Arabidopsis thaliana: one gene and its partners. The protein of the gene in region 1 interacts with the protein of each later gene in a pairwise test. Each region holds a gene or a part of one and is shown in the gene's direction. Other genes may lie near its edges.

The links.
Region 2: the proteins of RCD1 (region 1) and AT1G19835 interact in a two-hybrid assay, tested with the Arabidopsis thaliana proteins (one study listed by BioGRID).
Region 3: the proteins of RCD1 (region 1) and DREB2C interact in a two-hybrid assay, tested with the Arabidopsis thaliana proteins (2 studies listed by BioGRID).
Region 4: the proteins of RCD1 (region 1) and bZIP23 interact in a two-hybrid assay, tested with the Arabidopsis thaliana proteins (one study listed by BioGRID).

Annotation. Positions count from the first base shown.
Region 1 is NC_003070.9:11,610,342-11,616,759, forward strand, and holds RCD1 (WWE protein-protein interaction domain protein family), read left to right. Parts: upstream 1-1,776; 5' UTR 1,777-2,027; intron 2,028-2,396; 5' UTR 2,397-2,519; exon of another isoform or gene 2,520-2,971; 5' UTR 2,972-3,085; coding exon 3,086-4,209; intron 4,210-4,317; coding exon 4,318-4,565; intron 4,566-4,890; coding exon 4,891-4,970; intron 4,971-5,060; coding exon 5,061-5,219; intron 5,220-5,302; coding exon 5,303-5,398; coding exon of another isoform or gene 5,399-5,407; exon of another isoform or gene 5,408-5,490; coding exon 5,491-5,553; 3' UTR 5,554-5,877; downstream 5,878-6,418. UniProt on the Arabidopsis thaliana protein: Inactive ADP-ribosyltransferase that functions with SRO1 to regulate oxidative stress, hormonal and developmental responses. Required for embryogenesis, vegetative and reproductive development, and abiotic stress responses.
Region 2 is NC_003070.9:6,855,424-6,862,185, reverse strand, and holds AT1G19835 (filament-like protein (DUF869)), read left to right. Parts: upstream 1-1,622; 5' UTR 1,623-1,802; intron 1,803-1,809; exon of another isoform or gene 1,810-1,987; 5' UTR 1,988-2,487; intron 2,488-2,672; coding exon 2,673-2,747; intron 2,748-2,847; coding exon 2,848-3,067; intron 3,068-3,144; coding exon 3,145-5,383; intron 5,384-5,465; coding exon 5,466-5,523; intron 5,524-5,617; coding exon 5,618-5,974; 3' UTR 5,975-6,234; downstream 6,235-6,762.
Region 3 is NC_003071.7:16,847,874-16,852,478, reverse strand, and holds DREB2C (Integrase-type DNA-binding superfamily protein), read left to right. Parts: upstream 1-1,991; 5' UTR 1,992-2,121; coding exon of another isoform or gene 2,122-2,144; exon of another isoform or gene 2,145-2,625; 5' UTR 2,626-2,628; coding exon 2,629-2,672; exon of another isoform or gene 2,673-2,811; coding exon 2,812-3,814; 3' UTR 3,815-4,090; downstream 4,091-4,605. Other genes in the region: AT2G40350 (Integrase-type DNA-binding superfamily protein), read left to right, coding at 419-884. UniProt on the Arabidopsis thaliana protein: Transcriptional activator that binds specifically to the DNA sequence 5'-[AG]CCGAC-3'. Binding to the C-repeat/DRE element mediates high salinity- and abscisic acid-inducible transcription.
Region 4 is NC_003071.7:7,277,881-7,282,020, forward strand, and holds bZIP23 (Basic-leucine zipper (bZIP) transcription factor family protein), read left to right. Parts: upstream 1-1,550; 5' UTR 1,551-1,787; intron 1,788-1,881; 5' UTR 1,882-1,978; coding exon 1,979-2,699; intron 2,700-2,908; coding exon 2,909-2,937; 3' UTR 2,938-3,067; exon of another isoform or gene 3,068-3,285; intron 3,286-3,493; exon of another isoform or gene 3,494-3,542; 3' UTR 3,543-3,619; downstream 3,620-4,140. Other genes in the region: MSI2 (Transducin family protein / WD-40 repeat family protein), read right to left, coding at 3,735-3,975, 4,077-4,140. UniProt on the Arabidopsis thaliana protein: Transcription factor involved in the response to zinc ion deficiency. Binds to the consensus sequence 5'-[AG]TGTCGACA[CT]-3' also called zinc deficiency response element (ZDRE).

The DNA of each region.
Region 1 (6,418 bases):
GCAAAGTCTGATGTCGGGCACACGTCGATCTCTTTTGGTGGTGAATTCAATCTGGTTGGTGAAATAGGAAATTGAATTTGTTCCCAAAAATAAACGGATCCCGAATATCCGCGGATATCCAGTTTTTTCACGGATATTCGAAATCCGGATATCCGAGGTTTACGGATCCGGATGCGGATCCTAAAACTACATATCCGCCGGATACGGATACGGATCCGGATACTCCAAAAAACCCGGATATCCGGATCCGTAACAGGCCTAATCGTAGGTTGGTAAATTCTAGAAAAATAAGAGATATAAAAACTATATAGTTGTGACATATTCATTATTCAATATGAGCCATGGCTACACAAACTATATAGTTGTGACATTTTCATTATTCAATATGAGCCATGGCTACACAAACTATATAGCTGTGACATATCATACACAGAATAATATTCCCATGAATGCATGTATATATAGATCCTTTGGTTTTCCACCGAATAGTACAAACGTGTATATGATAAAAGTTTAGTCTTGAATTTTATAGATCTTACAAGATTGGGAAGACAGCCGTTTTCGGTACCAACTAAACCCGTAGTCACGGCCGGTCCATCTTAATATGCTGTCTAAAGCCCAAAAAATAAAAACTGGCCCATTATAAAACAAAGTTGAAAAAAATTGCGAGGTACAATTTATCAACTAAGTATTCTTCATCCGTCTAGACATCAAAAGAGTTCTAACTCTCTCCAAGAGATATCGATCTAGTGTTCTTTCTTAAGCCAATCGAAATGTTATTTATCCATCCTCAAATTAGCCAATTCCAAATATTGTTTTCAAATTATAGCCTTTTCCAAAGATTGTGTTTTCAATGAATAATTGTAGAAATTTAATTTTGATAGTTTTTTTATAAGAAAACTACGCAAAAAGTCCAGACTTAATATCCAAGGTGATATCTTTTCCAAGTCAATAGTTCATTGACTATTATGCGTATCTTCTATGTTTTAAAATAAAATAAATTTTGCTAGTTTAGAAATGTGATAATTATTGGAAGTATATCAATGGAATTTTTTATATCTCATTTAGTATGTCTAATTTTGAAAGTTATCTGTATTGAAAATGATTAAATATTCTTACCCTTATAAACCATATATCACTTCAAAATTTATGCTATTGTAGTATTGTTTATAGAAAAACGGAAAAATAAAAATCATTACAAATAAACGCGGCAATGAAACAGAAAAAATAAAAACCATTAAAAATAATCGCGGCAAATTTAAATAACGGCTATCGAAATAATGAAAATTATTTTTTGTTAACAAACATTTTTCTGGAGAAAGTTTTTAAAAATTGATTAAATATTCTTATAACTTTGTAAAATAATATTTTCAAAAACTTCTAAACTATCCTCAACTAATAAAATTTTATTTGCCACTTGCAATACAACTAAAACTTTGTTAGACCTTGTACGCAATAAAGAAAATATTTTTCAATGTCGATAGCTATCTCCATTCCAATGGCCCCCCTAGTCTATTCATCGATTCACAATCTTATCAATCATGTTCCGTCAATACACACTTTTCTAATTTCAACAATTTTATAATTGTTGCCCTCGTTACATTTAATTGTAATATTTTTGTTCTCCTCATGATAATATTATTCCATTATTGTATTCGACCATATCTATCTGCGTGTATTGACCGCCTCTTCAATTAAGTCACCACCCAATAAGATTTCGACGTTGACTGACCGACTTGTAGCTTTAATAAAGCCCACATGATTTGCTTTTCGTCCAAGCAAATTTTTGGTTAGAGAAAGAGGAAAAAAACTCAGGAACCGCCGACTTAAGAATTTCTTCTTCATCATCTCTCCAATATCGCCGATTATATATAAATGACTCTTCGATTCTGTTTCTTCTTCGTCGTCATCGCCGGCTTAGGGTTTTCTCTATAAGCAAATCTTATCTTCTCCTTTTCCTCCGTTTTTTCTGGTCAGCTTTTGCTTTTAGATTACCCTTGTTGCCTGCGATCGATCTGAAAAAAGAGGTCCGTCATGTTCATGTTCATGTTCAGTTTCTTTTCGTTTTGTTTCAATTCTTCTCATGCGATTTGAGGATTTTTTTTTTTATCTTGAATTGTTTTTTTTTGTTGAAGTCGATGATTGTAGATCGGCTTAGATTCGTTTGATTTTGAGTGGTTTTGTGTTGTTTTGATTGAGTTTTTGGATGATTCGTGTGATTATGCTTACGATCTGTGTTTTTTCGTCTCTGATTTTAGTTTATTTTGAAAATCAGTGAAACTGCGATTGATTTGGTTCGATTTGTGGATTTTGTGAAGCAACAGAGCTATTTTGACTTGAGAGATGAATTTTAATTTTTATTGAAAGCTAAAAAGTTGCTGGTTTGGATGTTGCAGGAACTTTATCTTGCTGACGGCTGTTATAAAAAGACGTGGCATTTCTTCTCTGATTGTGTTTATTTTTATGACGGAGAAGATGAACACACTTGTAATCTATCAGACTCTAACTGTTACTGTTGGGTGAGTTTCAAGCTCATGGCTTGGGTTTATTGTTCTCATTTTTCTGTGTTGGTGATTGGGTTTACTTGTTTTTGTTGGTTTGTTTCTGTGTTTATCTTTAGTGTCTCATAGGATCGTTCTTGTTGAGTGTGATGTTCATTTCTTATTGCTTCATTCCTATGTAGGTTGATTTGTACCTTCCGTCTTTGTAATGGATCTTTGTGCTCTTTATAACACAAGATACAACAAGAAGTAATGAAAGACTGTTCATAATGTTACTTACTGATGGAAATTGTAGCAAATGTCTTTTGTGAAGGAATGATATTACAGGATCATAGGTCTCATATAGTTATGCTGATTCTTTCTTGTTTACTGATTCTTTATCATGTAAACTGTGAGGAGTTTTTGTTTGACTCTATTCTCTGTAATATAGTTGTTCAATATTTTAAGCCTTTTCCATTTCTTTTGTGCAGTGTTTTCTAATGCTGTCGGCAAGACACTATCTTTAGGACTGCTAGGGAGTTTAGAGGTTACACAGTTGACTTTTTCTATCAAGGTTATAGGTTTAGTATTGTTAATATATAGAAATGGAAGCCAAGATCGTCAAGGTGTTGGATAGTAGTAGGTGTGAAGATGGATTCGGAAAAAAGAGGAAGCGCGCAGCAAGCTATGCTGCATATGTTACTGGAGTTTCGTGTGCAAAGCTGCAAAATGTGCCCCCACCGAACGGGCAGTGCCAAATTCCTGACAAAAGAAGAAGGCTGGAAGGTGAAAACAAGCTTAGCGCTTACGAGAATCGCTCTGGGAAGGCGCTGGTCAGATATTACACTTATTTTAAGAAGACTGGAATCGCTAAACGTGTTATGATGTATGAGAATGGCGAATGGAATGATTTGCCTGAGCACGTTATATGCGCCATCCAGAATGAATTAGAAGAAAAGAGCGCCGCAATTGAGTTCAAGTTATGCGGTCACAGTTTTATTTTGGACTTCTTGCACATGCAAAGACTAGACATGGAAACAGGAGCAAAAACCCCTCTTGCATGGATTGACAATGCAGGAAAGTGCTTTTTCCCTGAAATTTATGAGAGTGATGAAAGGACCAATTACTGCCATCATAAATGTGTGGAAGACCCAAAACAGAATGCTCCTCATGATATCAAACTTCGCCTAGAGATTGATGTTAATGGTGGCGAGACACCGAGGTTAAATTTGGAGGAGTGCAGTGATGAGTCTGGTGATAATATGATGGACGATGTTCCCCTTGCTCAACGATCTTCAAATGAGCACTATGACGAGGCTACGGAGGATAGCTGCAGCCGCAAGCTCGAAGCTGCTGTTTCGAAATGGGATGAGACTGATGCTATAGTCGTCTCTGGTGCCAAGCTTACGGGAAGCGAAGTACTTGATAAAGATGCAGTAAAAAAAATGTTTGCTGTAGGCACAGCTTCTCTAGGACATGTACCAGTGCTGGATGTGGGCCGTTTTTCCAGTGAGATTGCTGAAGCTCGTCTAGCACTTTTCCAGAAGCAGGTTGAGATCACTAAGAAACATCGAGGGGATGCAAACGTTAGGTATGCCTGGCTTCCTGCAAAGAGGGAAGTTTTATCAGCAGTGATGATGCAAGGACTTGGAGTTGGTGGAGCATTTATCAGAAAGTCCATCTATGGTGTTGGGATCCATTTAACCGCTGCAGACTGCCCTTATTTCAGGTATTTGCCTCGTATTCATCTGTTTTTTTCATGTTTAGATCGTATATTTTACCTTCCTCTGCAATAGGTTCTTTGTGTGTCAAGTACTAACTATGAACTTGTTTACAGTGCTAGATACTGTGATGTTGACGAAAACGGAGTACGTTACATGGTTTTATGCCGTGTGATTATGGGGAATATGGAGCTTCTTCGTGGTGATAAAGCTCAGTTCTTTTCTGGTGGAGAAGAATATGACAATGGAGTCGATGACATTGAGAGTCCAAAGAATTACATTGTCTGGAACATCAATATGAACACACATATATTCCCGGAATTTGTTGTTAGGTTCAAGCTGTCTAATCTCCCCAATGCTGAAGGTGATTAGTTTGTTCTTTTTTTTGTTCCTCACATTCTATCTTCCCCCATTCAAATCAACTGATGACGCATTGAAAGGGAGACAGCTTAGAGATCTGGCTGAAGCTCAGGTCTCAACTGATAAATTTAGAAAAAAAAGTTCCATGTGTGATAATGATAAACCTAACGACCTCCGGTGTTATAACACATTTGGGTTTCAAGAGACAAGTCTCTGATTCATCATCCGGGGGTCGGATGTGATACTCACGCCTTAATGGGTATTTCGATCCATCAAAATTATGTTTTGTGTAGTATTAGAAGTCCGATGACATACACTGGTTTCTGCAGGTAATTTGATTGCTAAGCGTGATAACTCAGGGGTCACTTTGGAAGGACCTAAGGATCTTCCTCCTCAATTGGAGTCAAACGTGAGTTTGGTTACTTCAGTTTTTCTTTGTATGATCTTATTAAAGAAGAGGGACTGAACAACTATATGTGGTGTTGTTGTGTTTAAAAAGCAGGGAGCAAGAGGTTCAGGAAGTGCAAACAGTGTTGGTTCAAGCACTACAAGACCCAAATCTCCATGGATGCCATTTCCTACTCTGTTTGCAGCAATCTCACATAAGGTTGCAGAGAACGACATGTTGTTGATCAATGCTGACTACCAACAACTGAGGGTATAGAAAAAAACTGATTCTGAGAGTTTGCTTTATGATTGGTAATTGCATAAGCTGGAATACATAAGAAATTTGTTGTGCAGGATAAGAAGATGACGAGAGCGGAGTTTGTCAGGAAACTGCGGGTGATTGTAGGAGATGATCTGCTAAGGTCCACCATAACAACCCTTCAAAACCAGGTAAGATAGTAGTAGTAGAGATATTGTTGTTGATCATAAGTTTACTTTGTAAACGGAAATGCTCAACAAAGGTTTTTTGGTTTTAACTTCAGCCAAAGTCGAAGGAGATTCCAGGAAGCATCAGAGACCATGAAGAAGGTGCAGGTGGATTGTAAGTAAAGTGGATGATGATGATGACGAATATCAAAAGGAAGCTGCTTTTTATCTATCTACCTGCCTTTGTGGTTCTCCTTTTGACTTTTTCTAATTTTAGACTTTTGGTTTTGGGTCGGGTCGTTGGTAGAGTTTAAAATGTGTCGACTTTTCTTTCTGTCGTGAAAAATCGTACTATATTATATGATTCTACTTAGTCAATGATGTCGTTGGGTCTTTGTTTCTTTAGCTGCAAGCAAAACATTGTTGTGGAAGTCGTTGAATCTTGACGAAAATTTGGTCGTTAAGCCTATCGCGTGAAACTTTTCTTCACTATACTTTTTCTCATTATTCTGTTAGCTTTATTAGATGCCTCACATTTGTGTGAAGGATTATTTAAGAGTATGATAACTGGTCACCTCTGGGTTCCTTTGACACTTGTGTACTACGGGTAAATCAAGACTAGAGGAATACCAGGAGAAAATAGTGTTGGTCCTCTCCTCCCCTTTAGAGCTCTATATGATGCGCACTGAGTAAGCTTGGCCTCTGACGATGAGAAGCTAGTGGATATCTCGATATTCTAGGTCCAATCAGTTCGATTTTATGGAGTCTCTGTGGAGTAGAGTAAACGGTCAGTTTGGGATCTCTTTCTCTATAACAGCGATTTGGAATCTGATCCGAGTGGTTCACCCAAAAGTACAATGGTTCTGGCTGTTTTCTTTTCATGGTTATAATCTGAAGCATTATTTTATTCCTTTTTGTTTGTGTTGTGAGTCGGCATTTTAGCTTTAAACGAATTTAAAACCGAGGAATTGATGATGAGCCTAACTCTTGCATATTACAGAGGATTGGAGCCATGTATCTTTCACTTGGACTTCGTACTACAAC
Region 2 (6,762 bases), 4.8 Mb from region 1:
ATTAATTCTAAAAGCTGAATTATATTCACAAAAATTTCGAGATAAAACAATCAAAAACTGATTGAAACAATTTATGTTTTAATTATAAAATATTTCCTGAATTTAATTTGGGTGGTGAGCACCATTATTTCAATTAAATCACAAGTTGTTTAATCTAATTAAAAAAGTGGATAAAATGTGTAGGTAGACAGTAGACATATTAGATGATATACCTAATGCAAATATTTATGATTATTATGTAAAGTCGAAGCTATTTGATCATATTTTAATTAAGAAAATGACCTCAATAATCATATTCGTTTAGACTTTACTCTTCACGTCTCGTTCTTTAAAACGAGAAATAATGTCTGCTTTTATAATTGAAAATAAGTCGCTATATAGGAAAAACAATATCTGATTTTTATAATGAAAATAAGTCGTTATATCAGTTTTGGGTTCTCAATTTTTTTCCTAAATTTTAATTAAAATTGAAAAGTCATATAGTTTTTTTTTTCTCTTTACTTTTGGTCCGTGGAATTGCTATTTACAGACTGTAGTGTACAAACTTTTGTTCGCTGGCTTGTCTCTAAAACTATATGAATGCAATTGTAAGAAGTTAGGACCATCGGCTGAATGAATTTAATAATTATGTAAACATTTTCATGCATTTTTGGTTGTTCGTAGCATATGACCAAAACTCAGATTTGTATTTATTATCTATTTTTGGGAGGTAACAAAAACAAGAAATGATCGTCCTTTTTAATTTCCGTTAAGTTTGAGATAAGGTTTAATTAAACGAGTGGAAAACAAACGCTTCAAATTAATATCGTCGGTTGCTCCGTTTCCCATATTTAGTCCATTTAGTCACTTACCATAATCATTTTTCTACATATTATTTCGAAATTTACTTACTACAGTATTAAAACACTCAGGTTTCATCCTAATCATTCTCGATGTAATACTAATCATCATTCATCAGTCAAAGTAATTAAAAGAAAACCAGTCAAATTTCTTGATATAAACAAAAAAAAACGCGAAGAATTATTTGTTAGGAGAACACATTTAATGAACATTTAATTTATGTATATTATCTTCCAGCAAAATCTCAGTTTAATGAAGTGCATTATCATCAACATAAACCTTCTGTACTAAATACAATCTGTCCCATTTATTTTAATTTATATAAAAGGAAGATTTTATTAAATACTATTCCATGCTTCATATAGTTGTAGTGGAGTAAACAGTATGATCACGATGTAAAAACAGAAAAGATAATCATAAAACAGTCAAAAACGTTTTTTTTTCTTTTCAAAATGATCACATATACAATGTTTGTATGAGGTAAGCTAAATTTATTTCTCTTACAATTACAAAATGTTCAGTAACAAATACGTCTAAGTATAATACTGTTTATTTAAGTATCGCATGCAACGGTAAATACAATAAACGCTTTTCAGAAATCAAAGATTGAAAGTCTCGAAAACGTCAATGGCTTAGGTTTATTTTGTTCAGGTCTTCTATTAATAGGGATTGTATAAAAAGGAAGCACATGTGATACATGTCATTGTTTGGCTATCATCGTGATAAGAAATTTTAGGAAAAAGCCTATCTATTCATTCCCTTTAACAAAAATAGGGCTACTGTGTATACGGATTTAGTATTTTTATTTGTTTCCGACTTAAAACCAGAATTATTACTATTAATCAACAGGCCAAATATCTAAATAATACTATATAGAATTCAACTAAATTGAATTATTAAAAGATTATTAAGGAGGGTAAATAAATAGAAGGAGAATAAAAAAAAAAAAAAAAGAAGAGAAAGTGAAGGTAACGATTAGTTTAAAGGAGAGCCTCTGCTACGTTTTAGGCTTTGAAGTGATACAGAAGGCATTAGATAGATAGATAGATTATTTTCACCATCAACATCACCATCACCGCCACTATCACACCATAACCCACCACTCTTCTTCTTCTTCTTCTTCTTCTCTCTCTTTCTCTGTATCTAGAAACAGAGAGTTTTTGATTCTCTCTGTTTTCAAATCTGTTCCACTAAGCTCTCTTGCTTTCGGGAAGATTCTGTTTCACTGCTGCATTTTGGATTTTTCCGGTGAGTTTTTTTCTCTCTCCATATATACTCTCCTCCTTTCGATTCTACATTTCTTCGGAATTATGCTTCGAAATCGGAGAACTGTATATATCATGCTCTGTTATTAGTTCATTTACAAAAAAAAAAAAAAAAGAGGAATCGGCGTCGGTGACTTTTGGTTTTGTGATTTGACTGTTGAGAAAAAAGCGTCGGTGATTTGGTTTTCGAGGTATTTTTTTCTTCGTCTGCCATTTGTTTGGCTTTATATCCTGAAGTTACTGATTCTAGTAATGGCTTTTGTCTCCATTTTACTTGATTTTTGGAGGTATTCCTTTACTAGTTTGATTCCTCTCTTCTTTTCATTTACAAGTGTTCACAGTTCATCGAAATCAGAAATTTTCTAGTCGATTGCGATCGTCGGTAGTCTTTTGCCTCTGCATCTCTGATTATTTTTTACTTTCTGGCATTTGCTTTCTGATTTGACTTCACCACTTCGTTTCGGAAAGTTCTTAATTATTTTTCCGAAATCCCAAAATTGTATATATTTGGTTTAATTTTTATGTTTTTGTTTTCTGAAAATGTTGAATTGTTTGTTGATTATGAAGATGGATCGTAAGAGTTGGCCATGGAAGAAGAAATCCTCTGAGAAAACAGCTACTGTCACAGAAGTTGTTGATCAGGTACTTTGATCACTAATCAATCACTCTTTAAATTTCTCAGATTTGTTTCATTTAATTCTAAGATTTATGTTTTGATTCCTTCACAAAAAAAAAAAAACAGGAAAATGGGAAGAAGCCGAGTTATATCCAGATCTCATTTGATCAATACACGAATCTAAATGGTTTAAAAGATGAAGTCAAGAGCTACGAAGAAAAAGTTACAAAGCTTGAGGATCAGATCAAAGATTTGGATTTGAAGCTATCAACAGCTAATGCAGATATTGTAGCAAAGGAGGTTTTAGTCAAACAACACTCCAAAGTTGCTGAAGAAGCTGTCACAGGTAATAAAATTTGCATGCATTTCTGTGTTTTTTCTTTTGAGTCACATGTTTTTGATTTATGTTTGGTTTTGATTCAGGTTGGGAAAAAGCTGAAGCAGAAGCATCAGCTTTGAAAACACATCTCGAAACCATTACTCTCGCAAAGCTCACTGTCGAAGATCGAGCAGCGCATTTAGATGGAGCGTTAAAGGAGTGTATGAGACAAATAAGGAGTTTAAAGGAAGAGAATGAACAGAAGCTGCATGATGTTATCGCTACTAAAACCAACCAAATGGACAATCTTAGAGCTGAGTTTGAGTCTAGGATTGGGGAATACGAGGAAGAACTGCTTCGGTGTGGTGCTGAGAATGACGCGCTTTCGAGATCGTTGCAAGAGAGGTCTAACATGCTAATGAGGATAAGTGAGGAGAAGTCTCAAGCAGAGTCTGAGATTGAGCATCTTAAGAACAATATAGAGTCTTGTGAAAGGGAGATAAATACTCTCAAGTATGAAACTCATGTGATTACCAAAGAGTTGGAGATCCGTAACGAGGAAAAGAATATGAGTATGAGATCTGCGGAAGCGGCGAATAAGCAGCATTTGGAAGGTGTCAAGAAGATTGCAAAGTTGGAAGCTGAGTGTCAAAGATTACGAACTCTTGTGAGAAAGAAACTTCCTGGTCCTGCAGCACTTGCACAGATGAAAATGGAGGTTGAGAGTTTAGGATTTGGAGATCATCGTCAAGATCATCGACAAAGAAGGTCACCGGTTAGACCATCTAGTCCTCTTATGTCTCCAATGTCACACATGTCTCAGGTTTCTGAGTTCTCACTTGACAATATGCAAAAGTTCCATAAAGAAAACGATTTGCTTACTGAGAGGCTACTTGCTATGGAAGAAGAAACAAAGATGCTTAAAGAAGCTTTGGCTAAGCGTAACAGCGAGCTTCAAGTGTCGAGAAATCTCTGTGCTAAGACAGCTAATAGGCTACAAACCTTGGAAGCTCAAATGATGAGTAAAAGTCCAACCAAGAGAGGTTTTGAAATGCCAGCTGAAATCTTTTCTCGTCAAAATGCTAGTAATCCTCCTAGTATGGCTTCAATGTCTGAGGATGGAAACGAAGATGCTAGAAGCGTTGCTGGCTCTTTGATGTCTGAACTCTCTCAATCTAACAAGGATAAAGCCAACGCGAAGATCAAGAAGACCGAGAGTGCTAACCAGTTGGAGCTGATGGATGATTTTCTTGAAATGGAAAAGCTAGCTTGTCTACCAAATGGCTCAAACGCAAATGGTTCGACGGATCACTCAAGTGCTGATTCCGATGCTGAGATTCCACCAGCGACTCAACTGAAGAAAAGAATCTCCAATGTGCTTCAGTCTCTCCCTAAAGATGCTGCATTTGAGAAGATTTTGGCAGAGATACAATGTGCAGTTAAAGATGCAGGTGTTAAGCTGCCTTCTAAGAGTCATGGAGCTAATTTGAACGGTCTTACAGAAGAAAAGGTGATAGCCATGTCAAATGAGACTACAGAGGAAAAAGTTACCATTGTCGAGGTAATAACACAAGAATTGTCTGATGCTCTTTCTCAGATATACCAGTTTGTTACCTATCTTTCAAAGGAAGCAACGGCGTGTTCTGAGAACAGAACTTTCTCCCAAAAAGTTCAAGAATTCTCTACCACATTCGAGGGAGTCTTGGGCAAGGAAAAGACATTGGTCGATTTTCTGTTTGATCTTTCGCGAGTTTTAGTCGAAGCTAGTGAGCTAAAGATCGATGTGCTAGGGTTCCACACATCCACAGTAGAGATTCACAGCCCGGATTGCATTGATAAAGTCGCTCTACCGGAAAACAAAGCACTTCAGAAAGATTCATCAGGTGAACATTACCAGAATGGTTGTTCTCAGAGCTCAGATTCTGAGATTCCGGATGATTGCAACGGAACATCTGGCTATGAACCAAAGCTTGCAACTTGTAAATTTACAACAGAGGAGTTTGAAGGTTTGAAACTCGAGAAAGAAAAAGCAGAGAGCAACCTTGCAAGCTGTGAAGCAGATCTTGAAGCAACTAAGACCAAACTACAAGAAACAGAGAAACTTCTTGCTGAAGTCAAATCAGACTTGGAATCTGCTCAGAAGTCTAATGGCATGGGCGAGACTCAACTCAAATGCATGGTGGAATCATATAGATCTCTTGAAACTAGATCATCGGAGCTGGAAATCGAGTTGACTTCTCTTAAAGGCAAGATCGAAAACTTAGAAGATGAGCTTCACGACGAGAAGGAAAATCATCGAGAAGCTTTAGCCAAATGCCAAGAACTCGAGGAGCAATTACAAAGGTAACAGCAAACTAATCATTACTCTCTTTTTCAATGTAGAGTCTCTAAAAATCTCTAACTTCACTTTTCTACAAAACATCAGGAACAACCAAAACTGCCCGAATTGTTCAGTAATCGAAGATGATCCTAAAAGCAAACAGGTAAATTTTCCAAAGATACCAATTTATTACCTTACCTAACAGAGATTTCGGTTTTTTAAATTTATAATTCATGACATTGAATGTTTTTACACAGGACAATGAACTAGCGGCTGCTGCAGAGAAGCTAGCAGAGTGTCAAGAGACTATATTACTTCTCGGGAAGCAACTCAAATCCATGTGTCCTCAAACAGAACAGGTTGCTTCTTCTCCAAGCCAAGAACAACAAGCCCTAAACCCTGAAGAAGAGGAATACGCAACTTCCACAAATCCTCAAGACAGCAAATTGAGTTCGCCTTCAGACAAGGATACACCATCGATGAATACAATGAAATCTCCGGTCGCGTCGAAACATAGACACACGAAGTCGAACTCGTCATCGTCCTCATCAGGACTTACTCCTGAGAAACACTCTAGAGGATTCAGCAGGTTCTTCTCCACTAAAGCAAAGTAAAAATAAATAAAAAGAATTAAAAAAAGTATAAATCTAACTATGTTGTATATCGTATCTATTGCTACTATATTATATGGGTTTTGTTTTTAATTTTTTACTATGTGGGAATGTTATTTTAACTTAGGTTTTTTCTTACTTTCTTTCTTTATTTCTGTACTGACAACAATTTGGTGTTGAATTCCGCGGCGTGTAAATGTCAAGCTACCAAATCTCGTTTTCTCATTGGTGTGCGTTATTTTTTAATCTAAGGTTTCTTAAAAACATCTCAATTTAATATCTTTTCCCCTATCTTTAAAAACTGAAACTACAAGTTCTGTGTTCTGTAAACAAAGCCAATCAGGTTTCAAGGTTTAATGAAATCTCAACTTTGGGCTTAGCCCAGCCCACTTACACCGTCTCATATGCTACTTGTTTGAAGGTGTATATAGAATTTCTTGTGAAATCACATCCCGTGGGTTGAGAATAACGCCAACATTTTTCTAGTAATTTCATACGAAATGCTTGTTTGAAGGCCGGCAAAAACAAAAGAAATCAAGAAAGAATGTCTCAGTGATGAACACTCCGATCGATTAATTGGGGTTAGTGCAACGATCCTCATTGTGGGAATATACCTTTTAAAGCAATTAGCGATCATTTACTGATAATCAATGTTTTGACAGTTTAGCTACTGTTTGGTTTAATAGGGCATCACATGTTCACGTATTCAACACCTACACACTATTACATCTAATTCTGACCTATATCACAATTCATTTACTTAGACATGTCAGACATTCTTCTTTCTATTT
Region 3 (4,605 bases), on another chromosome or scaffold:
TTTTTGGGGTTTTTCGTAGACAGAAATTTGTTAATTTTGGGCACAATTTGTCTCTTTTGGATTACGTTCTGTGCGATTTGTGGCTTCGAGTTCGTGTGGGGTTAAGAGACTTGGAAATTAGAGGATCTTTAGCTGGAATAAACGTTAAATGTGGTACCTTTCCTGAGTTTGCTCTGTTCTAATTGTGGTCGTGATGGGGTTTCTTTTTATTCGCTGTGATGCTGCAGATTGTGAAAAATTCTTGTAGCTACTTCGGTGTTGGTAGATTCTGTGATGCTTAAAAATTGTTTCTTTGAAGGTGCTTTGATCCCAAGTATAGTTGAACATGTTGCTTTAAATCTTGTTAAGAGAAAAAATGGGACTTGCTTCTGTGCCCAATAGTTCACGAGCATGTTGCTAATCTTGCTTCTATGCCCAGGAAACGGAAGTCTCGTGGAACACGAGATGTAGCTGAGATTCTAAGGAAATGGAGAGAGTACAATGAGCAGACCGAGGCAGATTCTTGCATCGATGGTGGTGGTTCAAAACCAATCCGAAAGGCTCCTCCAAAACGTTCGAGGAAGGGTTGTATGAAAGGTAAAGGTGGACCTGAAAATGGGATTTGTGACTATACAGGAGTTAGACAGAGGACATGGGGTAAATGGGTTGCTGAGATCCGTGAGCCAGGCCGAGGTGCTAAGTTATGGCTCGGTACTTTCTCTAGTTCATATGAAGCTGCATTGGCTTATGATGAGGCTTCCAAAGCTATTTACGGTCAGTCTGCCCGACTCAATCTTCCACTGCTGCCACTGTGTCAGGCTCGGTTACTGCATTTTCTGATGAATCTGAAGTTTGTGCACGTGAGGATACAAATGCAAGATCTGGTTTTGGTCAGGTCAGACTAGAGGATTGTATTGATGAATATGTTCTCCTAGATAGTTCTAGTGTATTGTTAATCGTAGTTGACTATTGTGAGGTCTTAAGTTGTAGATTGAAAATGAGATAGCTCATATGGAGCTTTATTGAAATGCAAGAAAGTAAACAAAGGAAGATCTTTAGATTGTCACCAAGAGTGGTCTGAAACTCTCATAACACTCAATCCTCCTCCTCCTCATCACCACCACTACAAAATATTATATTCTCTATCTCTCAATCTATGAGGAGATGTATTCTATCAAGCATTTGAAATGATAAGAAACTGGCGATCATCCTCTACGTCACCATCACTCCAAAATTATCCTCTTTCTAGGTTTAAGTTTTGTAATGATCGCCTTTATTTGTTGAGATCTCTAACTTCTCGCATTTCCAAAATGTTAAGTCCAATAACTGCATTGGTTAAGTTGGGGCGTTACTAGTCGGCTTAAATCCAAATATGGATTTGATTCCATATGTATGTGACAGTTTCTTAACGTTCATATTACAATGAATGATGGATCCTTGACTAGACAAAGAGAAAATGGATTGTCACTTCGTAGGAAAAATAGAAATTCTCCACGAAGGCTGGTCTCCTTTATTTAACGACAAATTCACTCATAGTCTCATTCACAATTTGAACTTGTCTAACACAATGTGTTATATACTCGCGAAAAGAAGCATAATAGGCTCTTAAGGGTAATCCACGAAACCAAAACACATATAAAACATTAATATTTTTCTCTAAATTTATTCATATCAATAATAAAGTTTACAAAAAATATAAAACAATAATCCATACTTAGCCCATAGCTTCGTGTGGAAGAAGACTTGATTTTTGACTAGTCAACGAAAATGAGTAAATGACGTATTCAGCTATAGTAAAAGGGATCATAAGCGGAAATTACAAAGAAGCTTTGAGGGTAAAATAGTCAAAAAGCATAATCAGAAATAACTTAGGCCCAAAGCAAAAAGGAAAGGACTCTGGATCCAGCCGCAAATCAGAATCTGGTAAGTTCGAACGCCACGTCATCACCTAAATATCTGAAATATCTAATTAAGACTTGTCTATATATAAAGGCTTCTCCTTTCACAATCCCAAACCTTTCTCTTCTCTGCTAACGAGAAAACAAAAGCTATCGTCTTTGCTACTACTACTACTACTATTATTACATTGAATCCTTTGTGTTCTTCTTCTTCAGCTGCTACTTTGTTCGAGTGCTTTCTTACATGCCGTCGGAGATTGTTGACAGGTTTGTTTGTTACATTTTTCGATTTTTCTCCGTTTTTTTTCCTCTCTTCTGTATGTTTGCTAAATGTGATTGTTCATTGTTAGGGTTTAAGATTTTCTTTTTATCGATTTTTGTTGTTTTGTGTGTATATCCTCCAAGTTCCTTTGTTTGTGTAATAGGTGGAAGCTGAAAGGTTTTTCAATTTTAGGGTTTTTGGGGTTTTTTGTTGACTGAAATTTGTTAATTTGGGGCACAATTTGTCTCTTTTGGATTGAGTTCTGTGCGATTTGTGGATTCTAGTTCGTGTGTGGTTAAGAGACTTGGAAATTAGAGGATTTTTAGCTAAAATAATCGTTAAAGGTGGTACCTTTCCTGATACAGAAGTTAGATTATGGATTCTATGTTGAATCTTTAGGTGATTCTCTGTTTCTGAGTTTGCTCTGTTCTAGTTTCTTAATCTGTTCGTGATGGAGTTTCTTTCTTGCTCGCTGTGATGCTGCAGATTATGAAAACTTCTTCTTGTAGCTACTTCGGTGTAATTACGTTCAGGTGGTTAAAAATTGTTTCTTTGAAAGGTGCTTTGATCCGAAGTATAGTTGAACCTGTTGCTTGAAATTTTGTGAAGAGAGAAAATTGGAGTTCTCGAGCATGTTGCTAATCTTGCTTCTATCCCCTTTGATTCTACCAGGAAAAGGAAGTCTCGTGGAACACGAGATGTAGCTGAGATTCTAAGGCAATGGAGAGAGTACAATGAGCAGATTGAGGCAGAATCTTGTATCGATGGTGGTGGTCCAAAATCAATCCGAAAGCCTCCTCCAAAAGGTTCGAGGAAGGGTTGTATGAAAGGTAAAGGTGGACCTGAAAACGGGATTTGTGACTATAGAGGAGTTAGACAGAGGAGATGGGGTAAATGGGTTGCTGAGATCCGTGAGCCAGACGGAGGTGCTAGGTTGTGGCTCGGTACTTTCTCCAGTTCATATGAAGCTGCATTGGCTTATGACGAGGCGGCCAAAGCTATATATGGTCAGTCTGCCAGACTCAATCTTCCCGAGATCACAAATCGCTCTTCTTCGACTGCTGCCACTGCCACTGTGTCAGGCTCGGTTACTGCATTTTCTGATGAATCTGAAGTTTGTGCACGTGAGGATACAAATGCAAGTTCAGGTTTTGGTCAGGTGAAACTAGAGGATTGTAGCGATGAATATGTTCTCTTAGATAGTTCTCAGTGTATTAAAGAGGAGCTGAAAGGAAAAGAGGAAGTGAGGGAAGAACATAACTTGGCTGTTGGTTTTGGAATTGGACAGGACTCGAAAAGGGAGACTTTGGATGCTTGGTTGATGGGAAATGGCAATGAACAAGAACCATTGGAGTTTGGTGTGGATGAAACGTTTGATATTAATGAGCTATTGGGTATATTAAACGACAACAATGTGTCTGGTCAAGAGACAATGCAGTATCAAGTGGATAGACACCCAAATTTCAGTTACCAAACGCAGTTTCCAAATTCTAACTTGCTCGGGAGCCTCAACCCTATGGAGATTGCTCAACCAGGAGTTGATTATGGATGTCCTTATGTGCAGCCCAGTGATATGGAGAACTATGGTATTGATTTAGACCATCGCAGGTTCAATGATCTTGACATACAGGACTTGGATTTTGGAGGAGACAAAGATGTTCATGGATCTACATAAGATTTCAAATTTCGTTTGACTGGCCTAAGTTTGTGATTCTGCTCCGAGACGGTGTAGCTGTTACTAGCTAGAAGCTGCCCTTCTTTGAAGCTACTGATACTTTCTGATATTAATGGTTGTGAGACGTAGTACATGTAGTTAGGTAATGTAGGACAAGTTCAAATATGATTCCTTCTTTCTTTTTCTTGTGAATACATATGACATATGAAGAAGTTCAAACGTTGGGTTTAGAAAAAGTTTATAACATTCGGTACATATCAAAGTTTTGAACTTCGGATGCATATAAGCTATAAAGTTTTGATCTTTGAACTTTGGATACTCTCACATCTAATTTTCATCCTTAAGAATGGAGATGGAATAATGCGATGTTGCGTAGTGGTTTTATTGACTTGGCAAGTTTTGATTATTCAAGAAACTTGGCTTAGTTTAATGGAAATATCCAGTAGTGGAGTTTTTTGGTCTGCAGACTTTCCTCAGGTTGTCTGAGATTACATAAGCAATGAGGTATGAATAATAAAGTTATCATTAGAGAGTTATCTATCTGTATTTTCTACAAAAGGCAAATTGGGTATTTGAAAGTGCAAATGGGACATAGTTGTATATTATTTAAAAGGCTTTAACTATTCCATTCTGGTCTCCAAAATCGTTTTTCTTGCTCGAATCTTGAAGATCTTCTAAGCCTTTAGAAAAATGAAGAAATCAAGTTGGCAAACTGTTAATTAATTAAATCCAATGAATTGGTGGGTATTGCACCTCCACAAGTTCCCTTTGACAATGTGTCCTCTTCTCCG
Region 4 (4,140 bases), on another chromosome or scaffold:
AAACCGGTTCCATCTAATTAAAATGAGAAAAAAAAGTAGTGGTAGTAACTTCGTCTCGAACCATGCGCGGGATTAAAGAGAGCGAATTATACGACCACTATGGCAAGACGCATTTAATTGAATAAATAATACTAGATTTGCGCAAAATAGTTGTTATACATTTTGAACAAAATATATAATATAAAAACCAAATAATATTTAGATCCGTGATGTACAGGTTGAATCTATAGAATTTTTTTAGAGGAAGTAAAAAAGAATCAAAATCTAAAGTTAAAATTAATACCTTAAATTTTTTGAAACCTTAGAGAGAGTCTTCTTCCCGTAAAAATATATATTTTACTTTATACTGAAAAAGTATAATATTTTCTATGATTTTTTGGCAAAAAAACAAAGAAATTGTATCACGGAATCTGCAAAACAAACATATTGTTTAAAAAATATTTCTAAAATAGTTATTTAATTGATCGTAATTAATATGTCCCCTCATGTCTTATCCGTTGATTTATTTTTAGTGACAATCCACAAAAATCGGCCATAATCTCTACTTGATAGTTTTTTCTTTCTATTTTGATATTGAAAGGTTAGTCCTATGTTTGACTAATATTGAGGAATCTTCTTTGTTGATGTATTTTGTGCAAATTTTGAGGAACCAAAGAGAATTTCAATTCCAATTTTGGGTGGATTCGAGCTATTTTATTGATTTATTTTTGGTTATATCTCGAAGGATGTTCTGACAATCAATAGATAATTTGAAGGCCAACACTGTTTTTGCATAAATATAGGATTCTTCATCTCAAAAATTAAAAAGATACATAAATAATCGGAACTCACCATATAATTGATCTGTTTTGGTTCTCGTCCTAGTTCTTCTTGTACTTCTCTTTCCAATTTCTTCTCTCCTTTCTTCTTTCCCATTTCTTCTCTTCTTTCTTCTTTCCCATGACTATGATTAGATTTTTTTTGGCCCTTTTTACCAGCAAGATGTTATCTTGTCCATGGAATTTTTAAAACTAGTTCAATTTTGATTAATTATTTTAAATTGACCCCATTATAAAGTAGAAATTAATCCTTGTAAAATTTAGTTTAAGAGCAAACAATTAGATATTATATAACTTTTTAGGCCAATTTAAATCAAAACAAATAAATATAAAATAAAAACATGTCTATTGAAATGATTTCAACCTCATAATTTTGTCCTCTTGTTAGTCTATCATTTTTTTATCATCCTTTTTTTTTTCATTCACCATTTTTCATTGAAAATTAAGTTAAAAATAAAGTTATAGGTTAAAAAATTAATATACATTTTAATTTTAAATACAATGTTTTGATGATTTTATCTAACTGATTATATAAAAAAAATATTCAGCGTCTTCAAAAAAAAAAAGAAAAAAAAATTATTCAGTTAGAATATTGATTCAAAGAAATTTTTCAATGGGTATAAAAAATAGCAACGCAAATTACTTTGGTTGAAAAAAACTAAATTTAAAAATATAATTCGAGTTATAAATTGAGCTATAAACTCAAATAAAAGTTTTAATACGAAATTAAACAATAGAATCTTCTGCAATTCGAAATTCCTTTTGGTACGTCCATGTCTTCTTTCCGCCATGGAAATAATGCCATCTGTTAATCATCAATGTTCATTGCACCTCTTCATCTCTAGGGTTCCCATTTCTAATTCTCTCTTAAACCCTTCTCGCCGTTTTCGCCCATAAGTTTCTCAATTCCCAAATTCGCAATCGTAATGGCGATTCTCCTCAAGCTTTCGTCTTGCTGATCCTTTAAAGGTACGATTTTTCTATTCAATTTAGTATCAGCCAATGATTAGTTATTGATAATTGGTTCTGAATCGCTTGGATTGTGTTTTCACTCTGCAATTAGGTTGTTGTTTGGTTTTTGATCACAAAGTCTCATACTTTTTGGTTAAGATTCAATCAAAAGAGTCAAAGGTTACTTCTTTGTTACTGGGTTTTGAGTAATGGACGACGGTGAGCTTGAGTTTTCGAATTCAAACATGGGTGGTGAATTACCTAGCTGTTCGATGGATTCGTTCTTCGATGAGCTTTTGAGAGATTCTCATGCTTGTACTCATACTCACACTTGTAATCCTCCGGGACCAGAGAACACACATACTCACACATGTCTCCATGTGCACACCAAGATTCTTCCTGACAAAGTTTCTACTGATGATACATCGGAATCTTCAGGGAAGAAGAGACCTTTAGGGAATAGAGAAGCGGTTAGAAAGTATAGGGAGAAGAAGAAGGCTAAAGCGGCTTCGTTGGAGGATGAGGTTATGAGGCTTAAGGCGGTTAATAATCAGCTGTTGAAGAGGTTGCAAGGTCAAGCTGCATTGGAAGCTGAGGTTACTAGGCTCAAGTGTTTGCTTGTTGATATAAGAGGAAGAATTGATGGAGAGATTGGTGCGTTTCCTTATCAGAAACCTGCGGTTACAAACGTGCCTTACTCATACATGATGCATCCTTGCAATATGCAATGTGATGTTGATAACTTGTACTGCCTTCAAAATGGGAATAATGGAGAAGGTGCATCGATGAATGAGCAAGGGCTAAATGGTTGTGAGTTTGATCAGCTAGAATGCTTGGCTAATCAGAATTTAGCTGGCAAGGAGATCCCTGTTTGTAGTAATGGAATTGGAACATTCACTGTCAATGGATCCGGCGTTAATAAGAGAAAAGGTGACATTCTAGTTCCTTTGGATCTCTTTCCTAGAGGCTGTCCTTAATAGCTATATCTTTATACAGTTTTCATCGTAGTTACTTCCATATTGTCACTGTACTTATCCTGGAATTGTGTCATTTCTGAGGTTCCCTTGAACGTTTTTTGTTTAAACTTGTGGTTTGTGTATATTTTGTTTATGAACTCAAGGTTTTTGATCTTGCAACAGGTGAGCCTCGAGCAGCGAAAGCAGTTTGAAGTATCATCAATCATGTGATACTATCAATCATTCACCCCATTTTCAAGTTGGTAGTTAATTTTCTTCCAATAAGTAGTAGAGTTCAACTGCATCACCAGCTTCCTTCAAGTCCATTTGTGCTATCATCAGGTTTTTAGTCTCTTTGCATTTCCTTGTTGAGCTCGTTGAAGCTAGAAATAAGACTTGTTAATATTCAAATCGAGTTTGCTATTTGGTTTTGTACTTTAGTAGCTTCTTTTTTTGTTGTGAAGTTCTTGTAGAAGAGATTGAATGTTGCATTTGGAAAAGTAAGTTATGGGAAGCCATCTCGACAATTAGTAACTTGGTTGTTTTCGACTTTTCGTTAGTCTGGTACAGTCTTGTGCTTCTGAAATCACTTATACGATGCATCAATTCTCGATTTGGTATGATATTTTCCTTGATGCTCTATGGAGTCTTGGGGAGTAGTACTATGCTAAAAAGAACCAAGACACGAACGATTCCTGAATATTGTTGCACGATCGTGTCTACATAGAATATGTTGCACGCTCAGTTTGACTGGATGACTACTAATTACTGCCAATGATGCTATCCCAAATTCCTTATTCAATGAATCTTTTGTCAGGCTTTGGAGTTCTAGAGTCGAATTTTGTGACACAGGAATGATAGGAAACCAACAAAATCCAACATGGTTACATTAACAAACAGAGATGATTCATGTTAATCCTAATACAGACGCAAAGCTTGTCTTTCAGAAACTGGCTAAAGCAAGATAAGACACTTTAAGTAATGGAGAGACCAAATCGTTTCTTAATTTTCATGATTGTTGTGTAATATCTTCTTTGATGTCCTCGGCATCCTCTTCATCGCGATAGATGCTTTCTGCCATCTGCCACACCTGAAGACTGTTGTCTTCAGCTACACTTGCAATGACCCAAGGCTCGTTTTTGTTCCAAGCAAAGTCTGATATCTTAGCCTTGTGGCCTCCGTGAGAGAAGAGTAACTCTGGTGGACCATCTTCTGCATCCAACTCTATCTCAAGCTGCTCTTCTCCAACCCTGTAAACCCCAAAAAAGAAGCATTACTCAACGTTGAACAATCTTCAGATTTAAAAGTTGAAGTTTTTGAATTCTGCAAAGTAGATGATGATGATACATACCTGTTCAGGTCCCAGACCATCAGCCTTCTGTCCTCCCCTGAAGATGCGAGTACTGTTTCATGGT